Linked DNA regions of Bombyx mori. The main gene of each other region encodes a partner of the protein of the gene in region 2 in a complex. Links are inferred from orthologs where the notes say so. Each region holds a gene or a part of one and is shown on either strand. Other genes may lie near its edges.

Evidence for each region.
Region 1: the proteins of transcription elongation regulator 1 (region 2) and serine/threonine-protein kinase polo are in contact, whole or in part, in a crystal structure (PDB 3Q1I), measured with the Homo sapiens proteins. The link is inferred for Bombyx mori from reciprocal best matches to the Homo sapiens genes TCERG1 and PLK1. Residues at the interface, in NP_006697.2 of Homo sapiens: Pro101, Pro102, Pro103, Met104, Ser105, Ser106, Met107; in NP_005021.2 of Homo sapiens: Lys413, Trp414, Val415, Asp416, Tyr485, His489, Leu490, Leu491, Arg516, Phe534, Phe535, His538, Lys540.

Annotation. Positions count from the first base shown.
Region 1 is NC_085121.1:12,625,010-12,629,280, reverse strand, and holds the end of serine/threonine-protein kinase polo, read right to left. Parts: intron 3,576-4,271; coding exon 3,349-3,575; intron 2,746-3,348; coding exon 2,609-2,745; intron 2,024-2,608; coding exon 1,842-2,023; intron 1,370-1,841; coding exon 1,236-1,369; intron 1,074-1,235; coding exon 961-1,073; intron 863-960; coding exon 668-862; downstream 1-667. UniProt on the Homo sapiens protein: Serine/threonine-protein kinase that performs several important functions throughout M phase of the cell cycle, including the regulation of centrosome maturation and spindle assembly, the removal of cohesins from chromosome arms, the inactivation of anaphase-promoting complex/cyclosome (APC/C) inhibitors, and the regulation of mitotic exit and cytokinesis.
Region 2 is NC_085130.1:19,184,455-19,188,281, forward strand, and holds part of transcription elongation regulator 1, read right to left. Parts: intron 1,634-3,827; coding exon 1,435-1,633; intron 1,079-1,434; coding exon 1,011-1,078; intron 1-1,010. UniProt on the Homo sapiens protein: Transcription factor that binds RNA polymerase II and inhibits the elongation of transcripts from target promoters. Regulates transcription elongation in a TATA box-dependent manner.

The DNA.
Region 1 (4,271 bases), on a different chromosome or scaffold from region 2:
ACTAAATAACTCCAAACTTTCTTGATATCGCACCACAGCCCCTGTCAAAGGGCGCTTTTAAAATGGCAATCAAATTAAAATCTAAAATTAAATTTATTCTTCCATCAATTATTGTAGATGTTTAGAAATATGTAGATAGAAATCAAATCATTCCCTGAAATGGCAAAGTCAGTAAGTTTTGCATCAAATGGAATATAATATGTATTAACAACCAAAGACACATATTTAAAGAATAAAAAAAAAAGTCGAAAGTTTTGCTCATATACTGAATCGGCAAAATAATTTGATGCTAAATCATTAAAAAGTATTTACTAAATAAATAGACAGTATCGGTGGATTTTTAACCTAAGTTTGAAATTTTAGGGTACAAAATTGATTTTAGTGACCCTTCTATTAAATTATAATATACTGGTGACTATCCTAAAAATACAAAAGGTAATATAATTTTTATTTTAGAAAAGTAGGAGACCCTAGGAAATTTAAGTGTAAAGATTTTTTTTATCAAGTACAGACTATCTCAATCAATAAGAACAGAATGATGAAAATTTGTAGTGATTTCAAACTTTTTTGCTATTTACATAAGCAGGGTCTCTTGGTTTACACAGTTCTTCATTGGAGCTTTCCACAAAGCCCACAAATTCATTTACTCATTTAGGTTCAGTGAAAACTAGCACAGTTTGTTTGCCAATACACTGTTTAGTTTTTCCAATGCATATGTGAGGTTTGTGTAAAGCTTTTTATCACAGCCATGCTCTTCAATGGTATTAAAGCGGAATGTTCTGAAATTCTTCTCTATATCTATGTAGGTGACAGCTTGCATAAGTGGACACAGTATTATCTTTGTGTGATCTTGGAAGTTTATCTGTAATATTAGAAAAAAAAAACAATCATGATGAGAAAGAAATATAACAGATCAATAAAAATTATATGCCAACAGCATTAAAATATAATTCTACTAACCTGTAAAGTTCCATTAGTCAGGTACATAATAACAGCTAAAGTTGTTCGAAACCACTGGTGTAAATGTGGCAAACGAGACAGACCATCACTCTCTCGCACTGGTACTGAAGCACCTGGATAATGGTAAATTTATTTAAAAGCGATAACATTGTTGTTAAGTATGAATACATTAGTTACTCATGCCATAAGAAAACTATTGCTCACACATTTTGTTTTCTGAATATTCTATTTGATTTATATGCTTTAGTGATGACAATGGATGTTGAAAAATTTACCAGCTTTCATGAGATGTTCGGTCATGTATCGTCTAAAGTATGTAAGGAGTTTCATTTTTTTGTCGAGTTCTTGCGGGTAATCGCGCATCGTCATGTACTGCTCTTGGCCCTGCCGATTGATGTAGTGCACATTCCTGAAAAAGGATAGTTTATGCAGATCTCCTTTTATTTTTTCAGATAGCAATATGAAGATTTTGTTGCTTGCTAATCTGCACATTACAGTCATAATACAAAACAATTGAGAATCACGCCGCAAGGAATATGCTATTAACATATTATGATGTCTATGGATTCTTATCACTTGTATAAAAAAGTGTATTGCGAATTTTTTTTCTTCAAAATATGTTTAAAGTTTGTGTGAGCTATGATTTGATTCTAATTTTGAGTGTGCAATGCATTCGTTTTATGACATATTATACTTTGATTCTCATTATAAAGATATAAAAAAAAAAACTATTTTAAGCTTTAGTGATTCGAACGTGATTTCGAATTTTAGTGAGTTCGAAACTGTTGCAAGCGCCTGTTGTATACTACTATAATATAATATAATTAAAAATATGTATATCTGATATTATCATCTAATATTTATATTAAACGTAAACTTACAGTCCATTAGCGAGCATGATAAGCTTGGTAGTATCGTTGAACATGACACCGACGCTCTCGTCGCAGAGCTGGTATCCGAATCCGTATTTGTCGCTGTAGTCGACCCACTTGCCAACCCACACCAGCGGCTGTGCTGCGGGATCGCTCAGCTCGTCTGTCAGAGCCTCCGGTCGGCATTTCAGCTAAAAGTTATAGAAAATGCCAACATACAGTCAAACTAGTTGTTTATAATTAAGTTACAAAAGTTCCATAAGATGAAGAGTTTATCAATTTATTTCTACTTATGATAAGGTTATCAGCGTATACCAGTTCATAGCACGGTCCTGCCCTATTTCAAAACTAGAGCCTATTAAATGTTATTTAGACCATAGGTATTTTTTCTCATCTATACATATAAATAAAATTGGAGTGTCTATTTGTAATATTGAAATAACCGCTTTTTACTAAGCGCATAATATGAATATATATACGGTACATATACCAAAATAACATTTTTAACAATTTTTGTCGGTCTGTTTGTTCCGGCTAATCTCTGGAACGGCTAGACCATTTTGACGAGACTTTCACTGATAGGTAGCTGATGATATAAGGAGTAACTTAGGCTACTTTTTTAAGACTAGCTTCGCCCCGCGGCCTCACTCGCGGTACGACAATAACCGCGGGTAACATCGCGAGACTCAGCTATTAATTAATAATAAAATTTAATGTTTCCGAAGCGAAGCGAAGGCGGGTCGCTAGTATTAATATAAAAAAAAACTATATTTTACCTTGTTAACCAACAATGCAGCGAGCTGGTCTCGCAGTGCAATAAAATTCTGGCGGTGCGACGTTGGTTCCACAGCTCGTGGCCCCGCGGGGGTAGCTTCGCGTTTGACGGGCGAGTCCACTGCCATCGTCTCTTGTTCTATTCAATTGAAAGTACGTATTATAAATGTCAATTCATTTATGTTGAATTTTAAAGTAGCTAATTATAAAAGGAGAAAAATGCTGCTTTTTTGATTCTATGAAGATTTTGATGTGCATAAGTGCTCCTTAATGAATCTTCTATCTATCTATCTATATATATAAAAATGAATTGCTGTTCGTTAGTCTCGCTAAAACTCGAGAACGGCTTGACCGATTTGGCTAATTTTGGTCTAGAATTATTTGTGGAAGTCCAGAGAAGGTTTAAATATGAAAATGCTCAGAATTGAATAAAAATAACAATTTTGTTTTTCTTTGATGTGTACCCCGTCAAACGGATTCCTTTTGTTTGTTTTAAGTTTATTTTATGCAAAAGTTTAGGTCTTTTTTTTATTTATCGATTGAGGCACTACGAAGTCTGTCGGGTCATTAATAAAGATCCGCGCATATCCGACATATTCTTTAGTGTTCATCGTAACTGCGATGATATTTTACCATTTAAAACTATAATTTCTTTAATTATTATTGAACTCTCCCTCATCAATTTATGAGGGAGAAAGTCTCGAAGTCTAGCCTGCGATTAAATAAATTACAATATATGCACCGTTAGCATGAACTTCGTTAAGAGGGCGGCGGTGTACCAGCATGCCCTCGAGCTGGTCAGTGCGCGGCGCTGTGGTGAGGCAAGAGACGGGCAGCCCGGCTGGCAAAATCCCCGATGAGAAGAATTCATGCTGCAGAAGTTTGTCCACGGACGGACGACGCGCAGGGTTCGATTGCAACTGCAGTACAATCATGGACGCCGCCGGTTTGCGAAGCGACGACGGAATCCTGAAGATATATTTGATTGTTCGAGATCGACAAACGTGAAGACCAAGGGAATTGTTATATTAGAAGGCCAGAAGAACAGTAGTCATAGAGCTATACCAACAGGGATGTCAATTTTATAACACTAGGCCTGCACCAGACTACAACACGAATGATCACATTGTAGTCTGGTGCCTGGCTCTGGTTGACAATCGAGTGAAGTGTTGGCTCTAGTGACCAAATTTCTCAGTTAATAACAAAAAGTTACTTTAACTCTTAGAATTAGGAACTCTATATACAAATAGTATTATTTTCCTAATTCAGTTTCAACATATTATATAGTATAGTAAGTAGTACATAGTTTGTTTTATAATATTGCGTTATTAATAATTCCTAGTAATAATTTTAAACTTAGTGCTGTTTTAAATTTTAATGATTGAGATTGAAATACATTTAGATTCGAAATTAGAAACATTTTTTACATTACTAAGACTAAGTATGACTTGTGTTGTAAGTTAAGCAGACGTTAGAAATATCCACAATACATAAAGCTGCACATCATGATCACCCTTCACCCTAGTTTGATGGTGCAAAAGTCAAAATATGGCACTAATGTTTGCCAAATAGTTTATAGAATCAAAGGAATTTGGTTGGATATTTTGAAGTCATTTTAAAAGGAAGAATAAGCGTTAAGTAATTTTATGTTGACAAATATATATT
Region 2 (3,827 bases):
CACTAACTCACTCACTGACACACACTAACTCACTGACACACACACTAACTCACTCACTGAGACACACACTAACTCACTCACTGAGACACACACTAACTCACTCACTGAGATACACACTAACTCACTCACTGAGACACACACTAACTCACTCACTGAGACACACACACTAACTCACTCACTGACACACTAACAACTCACTGACACACACTAACTCACTCACTGAGACACACACTAACTAACTCACTGACACACACACTAACTAACTCACTGACACACACACTAACTCACTCACTGAGACACACACTAACTCACTCACTGAGACACACACTAACTCACTCACTCACATTTCGTTTGAGGACACTAATTAGCTACATTTATAGAGTTGTCTTCGATTAAGAAATATAAATGGGTTACTTTTAATTTCGAAACGAATAACACTATAGAGCCCGAAACCTCTCCCGGTAACTAATAATTAGAGAAACACCACGATCCTGGCTCGTGCCGCGACACAAGCCAGGACCGCGGGCCGCTCGTGTGCAGACAAACAAACGCCAGTTCTTCTTACCTTTTTATGTTTTCGTTCTGATGGTCCCCCGCCGCTCGCGCGCACAACACATCAACAACAAAGAAACCGTATAGGGAGCGTGTCCGACGCAGGTCGATATATAGACGGCAAGATTACACATTCGCTTCAGCACGAGGGGGCGCGGACCCCCGGTGGGACAACAAGAGTGTCAGTGCGCGGAGAGTGATCGCACAATACGATTAACATCATGACATCTAATTATCATTAGAGATGAAACGAATAAACGATAATTATCAGGTATCCGGCCATGTTGTCACTATCCGGCCGGATACCGGATAGTAAATCAGTACAACATAAAGATGCAAATTGAGACACAGCATCCAGCGCGTAATTAAGAGCCGGACAGACTCTAGCACTGATTTAGTTCCGAGTGTTTCTACAAGTCACAACTCGGATGGGACACATACGCACGCGTACGACTCACCTCTCCCTTCTCTTTCTTCTTCTTCTCCTTATCGCGTTCTTTGTCTTTTTTCTCTTTCTTACTAACACCTGATGAATTAAACAGACGTTTAGTATCGCAATTACTTTACAACAAAGCATTTTTTATTGCTTAGATGGGTGAACGAGCTCACAGCCCATCTGGTGTTAAGTGGTTACCGGAGCCCATAGACATCTACAACGTAAATGCCGCCACCCACCTTGAGGTAAAAGTTCTAAGGTCTCAGTATAATTATAACGGCTGCCCCACCCTTCAAACCGAAACGCATTACTGCTTCACGGCAGAAATAGGCAGGGCGGTGGTACCTACCCGCGCGGACTCACAAAAGGTCCTATCGCCAGTAAACGCAAGGGGGGGCGGCGTGTCGGGGCGATCCCCCTAGTGGTCCCCGTGTAGCTGTACTGACCCTTGTCTTTCCCGTCCTTTTCTTTCTTCCTCTCCTCCTTGACGAGCTTGCAGTACTCCCGGAAGTAGTCCTCGCGCAGGCCGCTGGTCTCCACGGCCTTGTACCGCGCCTCCGAGTCCAGCTTCTTCTTGACATCGACCCACCTGGCGTGGCGGTCCACCGACTTCTCTTTGAGCAGCGCTATGAATTCCAGTTTAGCCTATAACGGAAAGAGATCGGTCAGCAGCGGGCGGCGGTCGGCGCGTGGGGGAGACGAGGGTCGGGGCTGGGGGGCGGGCGGGGGCGGAGGCCGGGGCGGGGGCGGAGGCCGGGGCGCGGAGGGGGGACAGGCACATTTTAATTATTTATTTATTTACGCCGAAGTGGGACAATTCAAATGATATTTTTCACAAGTTTCAATATAGCCATATTTATCTAAAGAGATTATACAAATTGAATAAGACAGACCAGTTCCAAGTGGCGGTGGCCGGGCGGCGACGGATCCCGGCTTTGGACGTCAATTTTTAAAAGATTTCAATAAAAGGTAGAGGTTCTCAGTTCATCTATATTCTCCTTGGTTTGTTCTAGGTGATATTGAGAATACCTTTTGATACGGGAGCTGCCCCCCCCTCGTGGGGTCCGGTCGGGAGCTCAATATTAAATATCAATTTTATTGACTATCTACTTTTTTGTTTTAATGTTGTATTACATTTAATTCGTTCGCATACTTATATATCGAAACATTATATTAGATCGCCTGTAACTTTAAATGCTCAACATTAAAACACGGGTCCTGAGTCGACCTCTGGGCGCGGCGGGGTCTAGCGTGCGTATTACTATAAGTTTATCTCGAAATGTCATAAACTAATTTCAAACAATTTCTTATAGTTCAAAACGAAACATGATTGTACAAATAAACAAGAGGGAGAGTTGGTATAAGGAGGGGGTGGGTTCAACAATTCGCATAGCAGTCCGGGCCCCCCGCCCCCCGCCCCCCGCCAGCCGCGAGCAAACGTCGCTTATAAACGATACGAGCAACCGCCTGCAAGAGAACTCATCATTAGGGTTAGAAGCTGAAAATGTAAAGATAAACATTATGGAACCTGCAATGTACAATATGTCATTAGAACCTGCAAGAAAACGTTATTAGGTGGCGTCGGTGCGGACGGAGGGGACGCCCCCCTCTCGCCCCCCTGCATCACTAATGAAATCAGTTTCACAGATATGTTCATTTGTCTGCTGTGACGCACAGGCAGGGTGGAGCCAGTACTGACAGTACACTTTGAGGTCGATAGCCTGTCCCCCCGCTTGACCCCCCTATAAGATGACATGTTGATAAGTGGGGGGCTGGGCGGGGGGACAACATGCGCGTTGTCTATGGGCCCTGACGGCCCCCGTGCTCGCTCATACGGACCATCCCTTCATTTAATATTCATTACTTTTCTTTAACGAACTCTGCAAAACTTACTTCATTGTTGTATTATAATTATAGTACTCTTTCAACGATTTTACAATTTAAATAATTTACTGTTCTTCTTTCTAATTATTATTAACTATTCTTAATAATTTATTCTTTCTGTATCTTTCAATTTTCTTTAAACATTTAAGAACAATGATGTCCTGAAGGGACTCTACTTTTAATTCAAAATATATATTATATCTTATAAAATAATGTTCAAGTCCAAAAAGAAGCTATTTGGTCCACAAGAAGAGTCCCACTGCTGGACAACAGGTCGGTAACACTACATCATAATATGTCATTAAATCTCAAAAATTTACAGAATCTTAGTAATTAATATTATTTAACTTCTCGATGGACTGTTTAAAATAAGCTGAAAAGTAAAAATCGTGATTAGTAATATCTATTAAGTATGATTAGACAAGATAACTACTGTGGTTCCAAAAAAAAATAATTTATAATTGGTAACCCGTCACCACTTTCCTTGTTTAAATAATTCTACCATCCCGGTAGGTTCCCAAGTTACACTGGCAACCGAGATCATGCTCAACCACACTATAGAGGGGAAGGAGATTTTATATAATTAAAAAAGATTTCTCGGTCCAAATTAAAGAAAAACCCATTTGTAACTTTACTTGTAGAAATCATCTGGTGATCTTCTAAATAAAAAGACAAAGACATTAAATGAATGATTTCACGGACAATTAATTACAAGCGAGTGGTTCTTGGAGTCGGGCGCGCCGCCGCTCGGCGCTAATTGTTCTTCTTAAAATATTTTCTAACCTTAGGGAGGCTCGTCGGTAAGGCGTCATCGTTTGACGATACATTTATCTAACATTGTTTAGTTCCGTTACGTTCCTGGCCTGTCCTGTAATACGACCGTCTGTTAGAAGCGGGACTTCGGAAGCGACGTCGCCTCGGGAGGTAAGTGCGAGCTACCGACCCGCCGCCGCCG